2 linked regions of the Xenopus tropicalis genome follow. The protein of the gene in region 2 purifies or fractionates together with the protein of the main gene of each other region. This does not show direct contact. Links are inferred from orthologs where the notes say so. Each region holds a gene or a part of one and is shown on either strand. Other genes may lie near its edges.

Evidence for each region.
Region 1: the proteins of hsf1 (region 2) and fbxw7 purify together in Homo sapiens (affinity purification with western blotting; 4 studies listed by BioGRID, with this or other methods). This does not show direct contact. The link is inferred for Xenopus tropicalis from reciprocal best matches to the Homo sapiens genes HSF1 and FBXW7.

Annotation. Positions count from the first base shown.
Region 1 is NC_030677.2:55,438,868-55,442,618, reverse strand, and holds the start of fbxw7 (F-box/WD repeat-containing protein 7), read right to left. Parts: upstream 2,271-3,751; 5' UTR 2,142-2,270; intron 1-2,141. UniProt on the Homo sapiens protein: Substrate recognition component of a SCF (SKP1-CUL1-F-box protein) E3 ubiquitin-protein ligase complex which mediates the ubiquitination and subsequent proteasomal degradation of target proteins.
Region 2 is NC_030682.2:152,321,822-152,325,572, forward strand, and holds the start of hsf1 (heat shock factor protein 1), read right to left. Parts: upstream 2,640-3,751; 5' UTR 2,404-2,639; exon of another isoform or gene 2,400-2,403; intron 1-2,399. UniProt on the Homo sapiens protein: Functions as a stress-inducible and DNA-binding transcription factor that plays a central role in the transcriptional activation of the heat shock response (HSR), leading to the expression of a large class of molecular chaperones, heat shock proteins (HSPs), that protect cells from cellular insult damage.

The DNA.
Region 1 (3,751 bases), on a different chromosome or scaffold from region 2:
TAATTTGTGGGGTTTTTTCTCATATTTGGTTCAACAAGGCTGTGTTTAACTGCACTGCCACTAAATGTGTAGAGGGAAACTTATTACACGGCATATAAATGAAAATAATTACCCTACAATACATACCCCTGTGATGGGCATGCCTACACAAATATAATTGTGTGTAGTGCATGTTGCTTCTGCCTCAGTTCCAAATTTCAAGAGTCAGAAAGCAGCAGCTCCATTAAAAGCTCTCAGAAAAGAGAAAGTCTCTCAGTTTCCATTACATGTGCCATAAATGATAGCACTGACAATCTTTGTGTTTTGTCTCAGTGACTTCTAACAGAGAAATGAAAAAAGCAGGTCCCTTCACCATGTGCCATAACCCCAACAGGTGTAACTTTATTTCACTCTAGTAACAGAGCAGAGAACCACTACACCTTTGATTATCATCATCAAAACTAGGGGTGACAAGCAGATTTCAGCAATCTACTGTCAATCACAAGTGACCACCAGGAGCTTAATTTATGCTATTAGTAGGTACATTCATGCCCTAAAAACAGTATATACATCTTTAGTAAGAGCTTTTTTTAATATACACATAATCCAGGAATAAAAGTGCTTTATAAAGGGTCCAGGTTGTATTTAATCTTTGGTATTTCACTTAAATAAACCTTAAACTAGGGTTCAATTAACCTTTCAACCAGGTAGACATTTGGAATTCAGAATGTTTTAGGAACAGAAGAGGCTCTGAAAACATAGACCAATAATTCAAAAAACAGGAACATTCAAATTAAAGTCTAATAGTCCATGTTTCTATTGCGGGTCAGTGACCCTGTAACTAGGTAGCTTTTCCAGCTGCAATTTGGAAGAATGTGGTAAATAATTCAGAAAGAATACAACACGAAAAGTTTATTTTAGGACGGGCAAAATTTTGTCCACACTAAAGACTGGAGTTAATTATATATATAACAAATTCTTTTATACAAAATTCAAGTTTTATTGCATCCCATACTTTATGTTACTGCAATTTGGCATCCTCTGCCTTTCAATCCTATTACAGTAAATGCTTACACTAGGGATGCACCAAATCCACTATTTTATAATCTGCCTGAACCCCTGAATTGTTTGCGAAAGATTTGTCCAAATACTGAACCAAATCCTAATTTGTATATGCATATTAGAATAAGGAAGGGTTGAAGAGAACCGTGCATGAAAATTTTTCAACTTCCGTGTGATGGATTCTAATTCGTTTTGGCCAGAGGCATGGATTTGGCCAAATATGGATATAAAAGGTCAGATCTTGGCAGAATCCTGCACCAAATCCTGGATTCAGTGCATCACTAGCTTATACACATAAGTAACCTTATCTTTAAATAAAGTTTCACTCTAATCCCCCATATGAAAACAGCTAAATGGAGCAGCACAGACTAAAGACAACACAAAGCTGGGTTCTAGTGTGACAAGTCCCTTACATGAGTCTGAGCACTAAGTGGGAATGTTCTCACCATCAGACTTCTCTTACAATGGTTTGCATAGGGTGTTGCCCCAAGATTAGTACTGTGAGCACAGCATGCCTAAGCATTAGTACTACCCACTTACTTTGGGCAAGAAAAGGATGAATTAGGCAACTTGCAGTTCAGTAATGTGTGTCACAGGCAGAAGCCCAAGTACCCCTACAGGCTGGTTTGGTGTAAATAAATTCCACTTCCAAAAAGTCCACTTCTGTAGTTCTAGAGTCTTGAGGCAATGTTTTGGATTTCATAGTATGCACAGATATACAGGATACAGAGGTATAATTGTGTGTGTGTATAAATACACAATATACACAGAGCTATACTGTGCATATGGGAGTTAATACTTACAACACTTGCACACTACACAATCTCCCAATAAAGAGTTGCCTACAAGTCTATACTGAGTACAGCAGTGGTCTTCAAAGTGCGGCTCGTCAACTGTAAAACTACAACTCCCAGAATTCCTGGACGGATTCTGGGAGTTGTAGTTAAACACAGCTAGAGAGAAGGTAGTTTTGTGTCCCTGTAGCAGGGCAAGTAAATACAAATCTACATCCACTAATGTACTACTTTAAATTATTCCCCCACACACTACACTATTTCTTTAAAGCGATCAAGTCCCGGCGGTGGCCAGCGGCCAGTTACCTGGGTGGAATGACTAGTCGGGGGCATTCGCTGCCTTTCCTGGAGCCCACACGGGCAGGCACGCAGCTCACGGAAGGAAGGCTTCTCGCCGAGAGACAGGCACGGGAGGAGAGGGAGAGAGAGGGCGCGCCGGGATGACGTCAGTCGCTCAGCAACAACCAGGGCAGCAGTCGTCGCAGCGGCTTGATGTCATACGTGGGAGACGGAAGTAGGAGGCTACTGTTACTAGCCGCTACAGTTATGTTATGGTGGGGAAAGCAGCGGCGGAGTGTATTCAGCCTGGTGCTCGCAGGTGCATGTACCGCCTACGTTAGTAAGGTCAGTGAGACTCCGTACGATTAGCTCCAGCGGTTTCTCTGATTTTCAGTCTATTGCCGAATTATAGTTTCTTGTGTCATACACTGAGTGGTTGCAGTGTTCAGCAACAGTGATCTAAATGAGCCGGGGTGCCTTATACATATCGCTTCCGATGAGGATCGAGCTGCAGAATGGGGGGGGGGGGGAGACAGGAATTTAATTAGAACGGACAGCACACGAACGTGGACAGGCAGGTGTGGGGCACAATCACCCAGGGATAGGTGCCTACTGGGGGAACAATGCCTTGAGGCGAGAGATTCCAAAATGAGCCCTCTCCCCATGATGTAGGGATGGATGGTATCTTCAGGTTATAGTCATAGTTACCAGTATATATTACTGTCTGTCTGAGAAGGGTCTCATTCATTCAGTTCTCTAAAAAAAAAAAAGTCTAGTTGATTTGACTTATTGCTATAGTTATATATTACTGTCCATAGCCATAGAAATCATAGTCCCCAGTACATTCTAGTGCTATACTCCAGCAATAACTTTAATGATATTAATTTCATCAGAAGAGTTGAAAATTGCCTTTATTCCCACGGACCAAGACTAATGCATGGATAAAAAAAATGTTTGGAGCAACTGAATGCTAATATAAATAGTACAAAGTTTGCATAGTCTGTTTGGCACATGGGCTTTAATGAGCACTGGGTAGCACATACTTTCTACATTCAGAAAGGAGTCAGGACAGAGTCTGTAGGATAGAATTAAGGATTCATTATACTTTTGGGACTTTATTTCAAGATTTGTTTTTAAACAAAATTGTTAAATTGTTACATTTAAGCCTGTGCTATGGAGAATGGTGATGCTTTATAAATAAATGCCCTTAATTGTTTAGGTGTTGGAGATTGCATTGGCACATGCAGGTCTATAGAATGTTAGCAGTTTGTGCTTACCTGCTGTGTCCTTAGCACTCTAATGGTGAATACCGAGTTGAAGATAAAACCTGAGCTAATGCTAAAAAGCCTTTTTTTTTTTTTTTTTTTAAAAAGGAAATGATACCGCCTATTTGACATGAGTTCATTCATTTGTATTAATAATTTAATTTTTTACACAGACATACATGATTCCACAGAGTGAAAGGGAACAGTAAGAATCTGTCTGAGCTTGCAGGGATTGGTTCCCCACACCCGGTAGATGATGGTGCAGAGATTCTCTCGAAAGAAGGAGGACTTTAAGTCTCAGAATTCATCCGTTCACAATAGAACAAGGTAAGGGAAGGTTGCACTACACCATGAGCCTTAGGGAGGCAGAGA
Region 2 (3,751 bases):
TTTTCCCCACAGGAGGGGGAAGAGGGCAGCAAGGGGTGGCAGCTTACAGGAGACGGGGTAAATAGGCAGAACAGATGGGGCACTATCATACAAGCCAAGCGGGAAACTCACACACAGGGGGCAGTACTTGGGGGTAAGGGCTATTGGCAGAAAGGAGGGGGTAGTTAGGCTGCTCACACACAGGGGGCAGTACTTGGGGGTAAGGGCTATTGGCAGAAAGGAGGGGGTAGTTAGGCTGCTCACACACAGGGGGGCAGTACTTGGGGGTAAAGGGCTATTGGCAGAAAGGAGGGGGTAGTGAGGCTGCTCACACACAGGGGGCAGTACTTGGGGTTTAGGGCTATTGGCATAAAGGAAGGGGTAGTTAGGCTGCTCACACACAGGGGGCAGTACTTGGGGTTTAGGGCTATTGGCAGAAAGGAGGGGGTAGTTAGGCTGCTCACACACAGGGGGCAGTACTTGGGGTTTAGGGCTATTGGCAGAAAGGAGGGGGTAGTTAGGCTGCTCACACACAGAGGGCAGTACTTGGGGTTTATGGCTATTGGCAGAAAGGAGGGGTAGTTAGGCTGCTCACAAACAGGGGGCAGTACTTGGGGGTAAGGGCTATTGGCAGAAAGGAAGGGGTAGTTAGGCTGCTCACACACAGGGGGCAGTACTTGGGGTTTATGGCTATTGGCAGAAAGGAGGGGTAGTTAGGCTGCTCACAAACAGGGGGCAGTACTTGGGGGTAAGGGCTATTGGCAGAAAGGAAGGGGTAGTTAGGCTGCTCACACACAGGGGGCAGTACTTGGGGGTAAGGGCTATTGGCAGAAAGGAGGGGTAGTTAGGCTGCTCACACACAGAGGGGCAGTATTTGGGGGTAAGGGCTATTGGCAGAAAGGAAGGGGTAGTTAGGCTGCTCACACACAGGGGGGCAGTACTTGGGGGTAAGGGCTATTGGCAGAAAGGAGGGGGTAGTTAGGCTGCTCACACACAGAGGGCAGTACTTGGGGTTTATGGCTATTGGCAGAAAGGAGGGGGTAGTTAGGCTGCTCACACACAGAGGGGCAGTATTTGGGGGTAAGGGCTATTGGCAGAAAGGAAGGGGTAGTTAGGCTGCTCACACACAGGGGGCAGTACTTGGGGGTAAGGGCTATTGGCAGAAAGGAGGGTAGTTAGGCTGCTCACACACAGGGGGGCAGTACTTGGGGTTTATGGCTATTGGCATAAAGGAGGGGTAGTTAGGCTGCTCACAAACAGGGGGCAGTACTTGGGGGTAAGGGCTATTGGCAGAAAGGAGGGGTAGTTAGGCTGCTCACACACAGGGGGGCAGTATTTGGGGGTAAGGGCTATTGGCAGAAAGGAGGGGTAGTTAGGCTGCTCACACACAGAGGGGCAGTATTTGGGGGTAAGGGCTATTGGCAGAAAGGAAGGGGTAGTTAGGCTGCTCACACACAGGGGGCAGTACTTGGGGGTAAGGGCTATTGGCAGAAAGGAGGGGTAGTTAGGCTGCTCACACACAGGGGGCAGTACTTGGGGGTAAGGGCTATTGGCAGAAAGGAAGGGGTAGTTAGGCTGCTCACACACAGGGGGGCAGTACTTGGGGGTAAGGGCTATTGGCAGAAAGGAAGGGGTAGTTAGGCTGCTCACACACAGGGGGGCAGTACTTGGGGGTAAGGGCTATTGGCAGAAAGGAGGGGGTAGTTAGGCTGCTCACACACAGGGGGGCAGTACTTGGGGGTAAGGGCTATTGGCAGAAAGGAGGGGTAGTTAGGCTGCTCACACACAGGGGGCAGTACTTGGGGGTAAGGGCTATTGGCATAAAGGAAGGGGTAGTTAGGCTGCTCACACACAGGGGGGCAGTATTTGGGGGTAAGGGCTATTGGCAGAAAGGAGGGGTAGTTAGGCTGCTCACACACAGGGGGGCAGTACTTGGGGGTAAGGGCTATTGGCAGAAAGGAAGGGGTAGTTAGGCTGCTCACACACAGGGGGGCAGTACTTGGGGGTAAGGGCTATTGGCAGAAAGGAGGGGTAGTTAGGCTGCTCACACACAGAGGGGCAGTATTTGGGGGTAAGGGCTATTGGCAGAAAGGAGGGGTAGTTAGGCTGCTCACACACAGGGGGGCAGTATTTGGGGGTTTAGGGCTATTGGCAGAAAGGAGGGGGTAGTTAGGCTGCTCACACACAGGGGGCAGTACTTGGGGGTAAGGGCTATTGGCAGAAAGGAGGGGTAGTTAGGCTGCTCACACACAGGGGGCAGTACTTGGGGGTAAGGGCTATTGGCAGAAAGGAGGGGTAGTTAGGCTGCTCACACACAGGGGGGCAGTATTTGGGGGTAAGGGCTATTGGCAGAAAGGAGGGGTAGTTAGGCTGCTCACACACAGGGGGGCAGTAGCTATTGGGGTAAGTAGGCAACTCACGTACAGTGTAGGGGTCGGTGACTCTGAGGGGTACGTTAGCAACGCTATCCCCCCAGCCGGTAGCGCCCCGGACTCTCCTGACGGGATGTTTAGTTCAGGCTCCCGGGCCCTTCTGCGCACAGTCACAGGCCGAGGGAGCCATGGTGAGCGCCATCTTGTGACGTACAATCCCGGGAGCAGGACGCATGCGCAGTACGAGCGGTGAGACGCGCATTTGCGTGTCCGCCATCTTACTACACCCAAGCCTTACTACACCCAAGGTAGTGTTAACGTAAATAGTTGTTTTCTATGTAGTGCACTGACTTCAAATACCGGTAAAGGATTACACGCGTTATATTACATTGTGCCTGAGAACAAACAGTAATAATCTATTCAGGTATAAAGATTCAAATGCCACAGGTAAGATGGTATTGAACTGTTTCCGGCGGGTTAGTGGGCGGGGCAAAGTCAACTTCCGGTGTGAGGAGACAGGGAGAAACGTGTTTCTGGACAGCGCGACTGGTATTTTGGTCTCTAAGTGATTGACACTGTCGAACCGAAACAGAACCAATAGGGAATCGTATCCTCCCCGGGCCCTGAGTGAAATATGAAGAAGGGGAGCAAGCGGGAGGCCGGGGGCCCTCAGGCCGAGCAGCCGGTAATAACACGTGACTGCGATGCATGTGGAGCCCGACACCGGGGCCCGGGGTTACACACTGACTGGGAAGTGTATTGGGTATAGGGGGGGCACTGGGCTGGGGCTGTGGGGGGGAGACACTGGGCTGGGGCTGTGGGGGGGAGACACTGGGCTGGGGCTGTGGGGGAGACACTGGGCTGGGGCTGTGGGGGGGAGACACTGGGCTGGGGCTGTGGGGGGGAGACTCTGGGCTGGGGCTGTGGGGGGGAGACACTGGGCTGGGGCTGTGGGGGAGACACTGGGCTGGGGCTGTGGGGGGGAGACACTGGGCTGGGGCTGTGGGGGGGAGACACTGGGCTGGGGCTGTGGGGGGGAGACACTGGGCTGGGGCTGTGGGGGGGAGACACTGGGCTGGGGCTGTGGGGGGGAGACACTGGGCTGGGGCTGTGGGGGGGAGACACTGGGCTGGGGCTGTGGGGGAGACACTGGGCTGGGGCTGTGGGGGAGACACTGGGCTGGGGCTGTGGGGGAGACACTGGGCTGGGGCTGTGGGGGGAGACACTGGGCTTTGGATAAGGTGGGGGGGGGGACATGGGACACTGGGCTTTGGCTAAGGTGGGGGGGACATGGGACACTGGGCTTTGGCTATGGTCGGGGGGGACATGGGACACTGGGCTTTGGCTAAGGTGGGGGGGGGGGACACTGGGCTGGGGCTGTGGGGGGGGAGACACTGGGC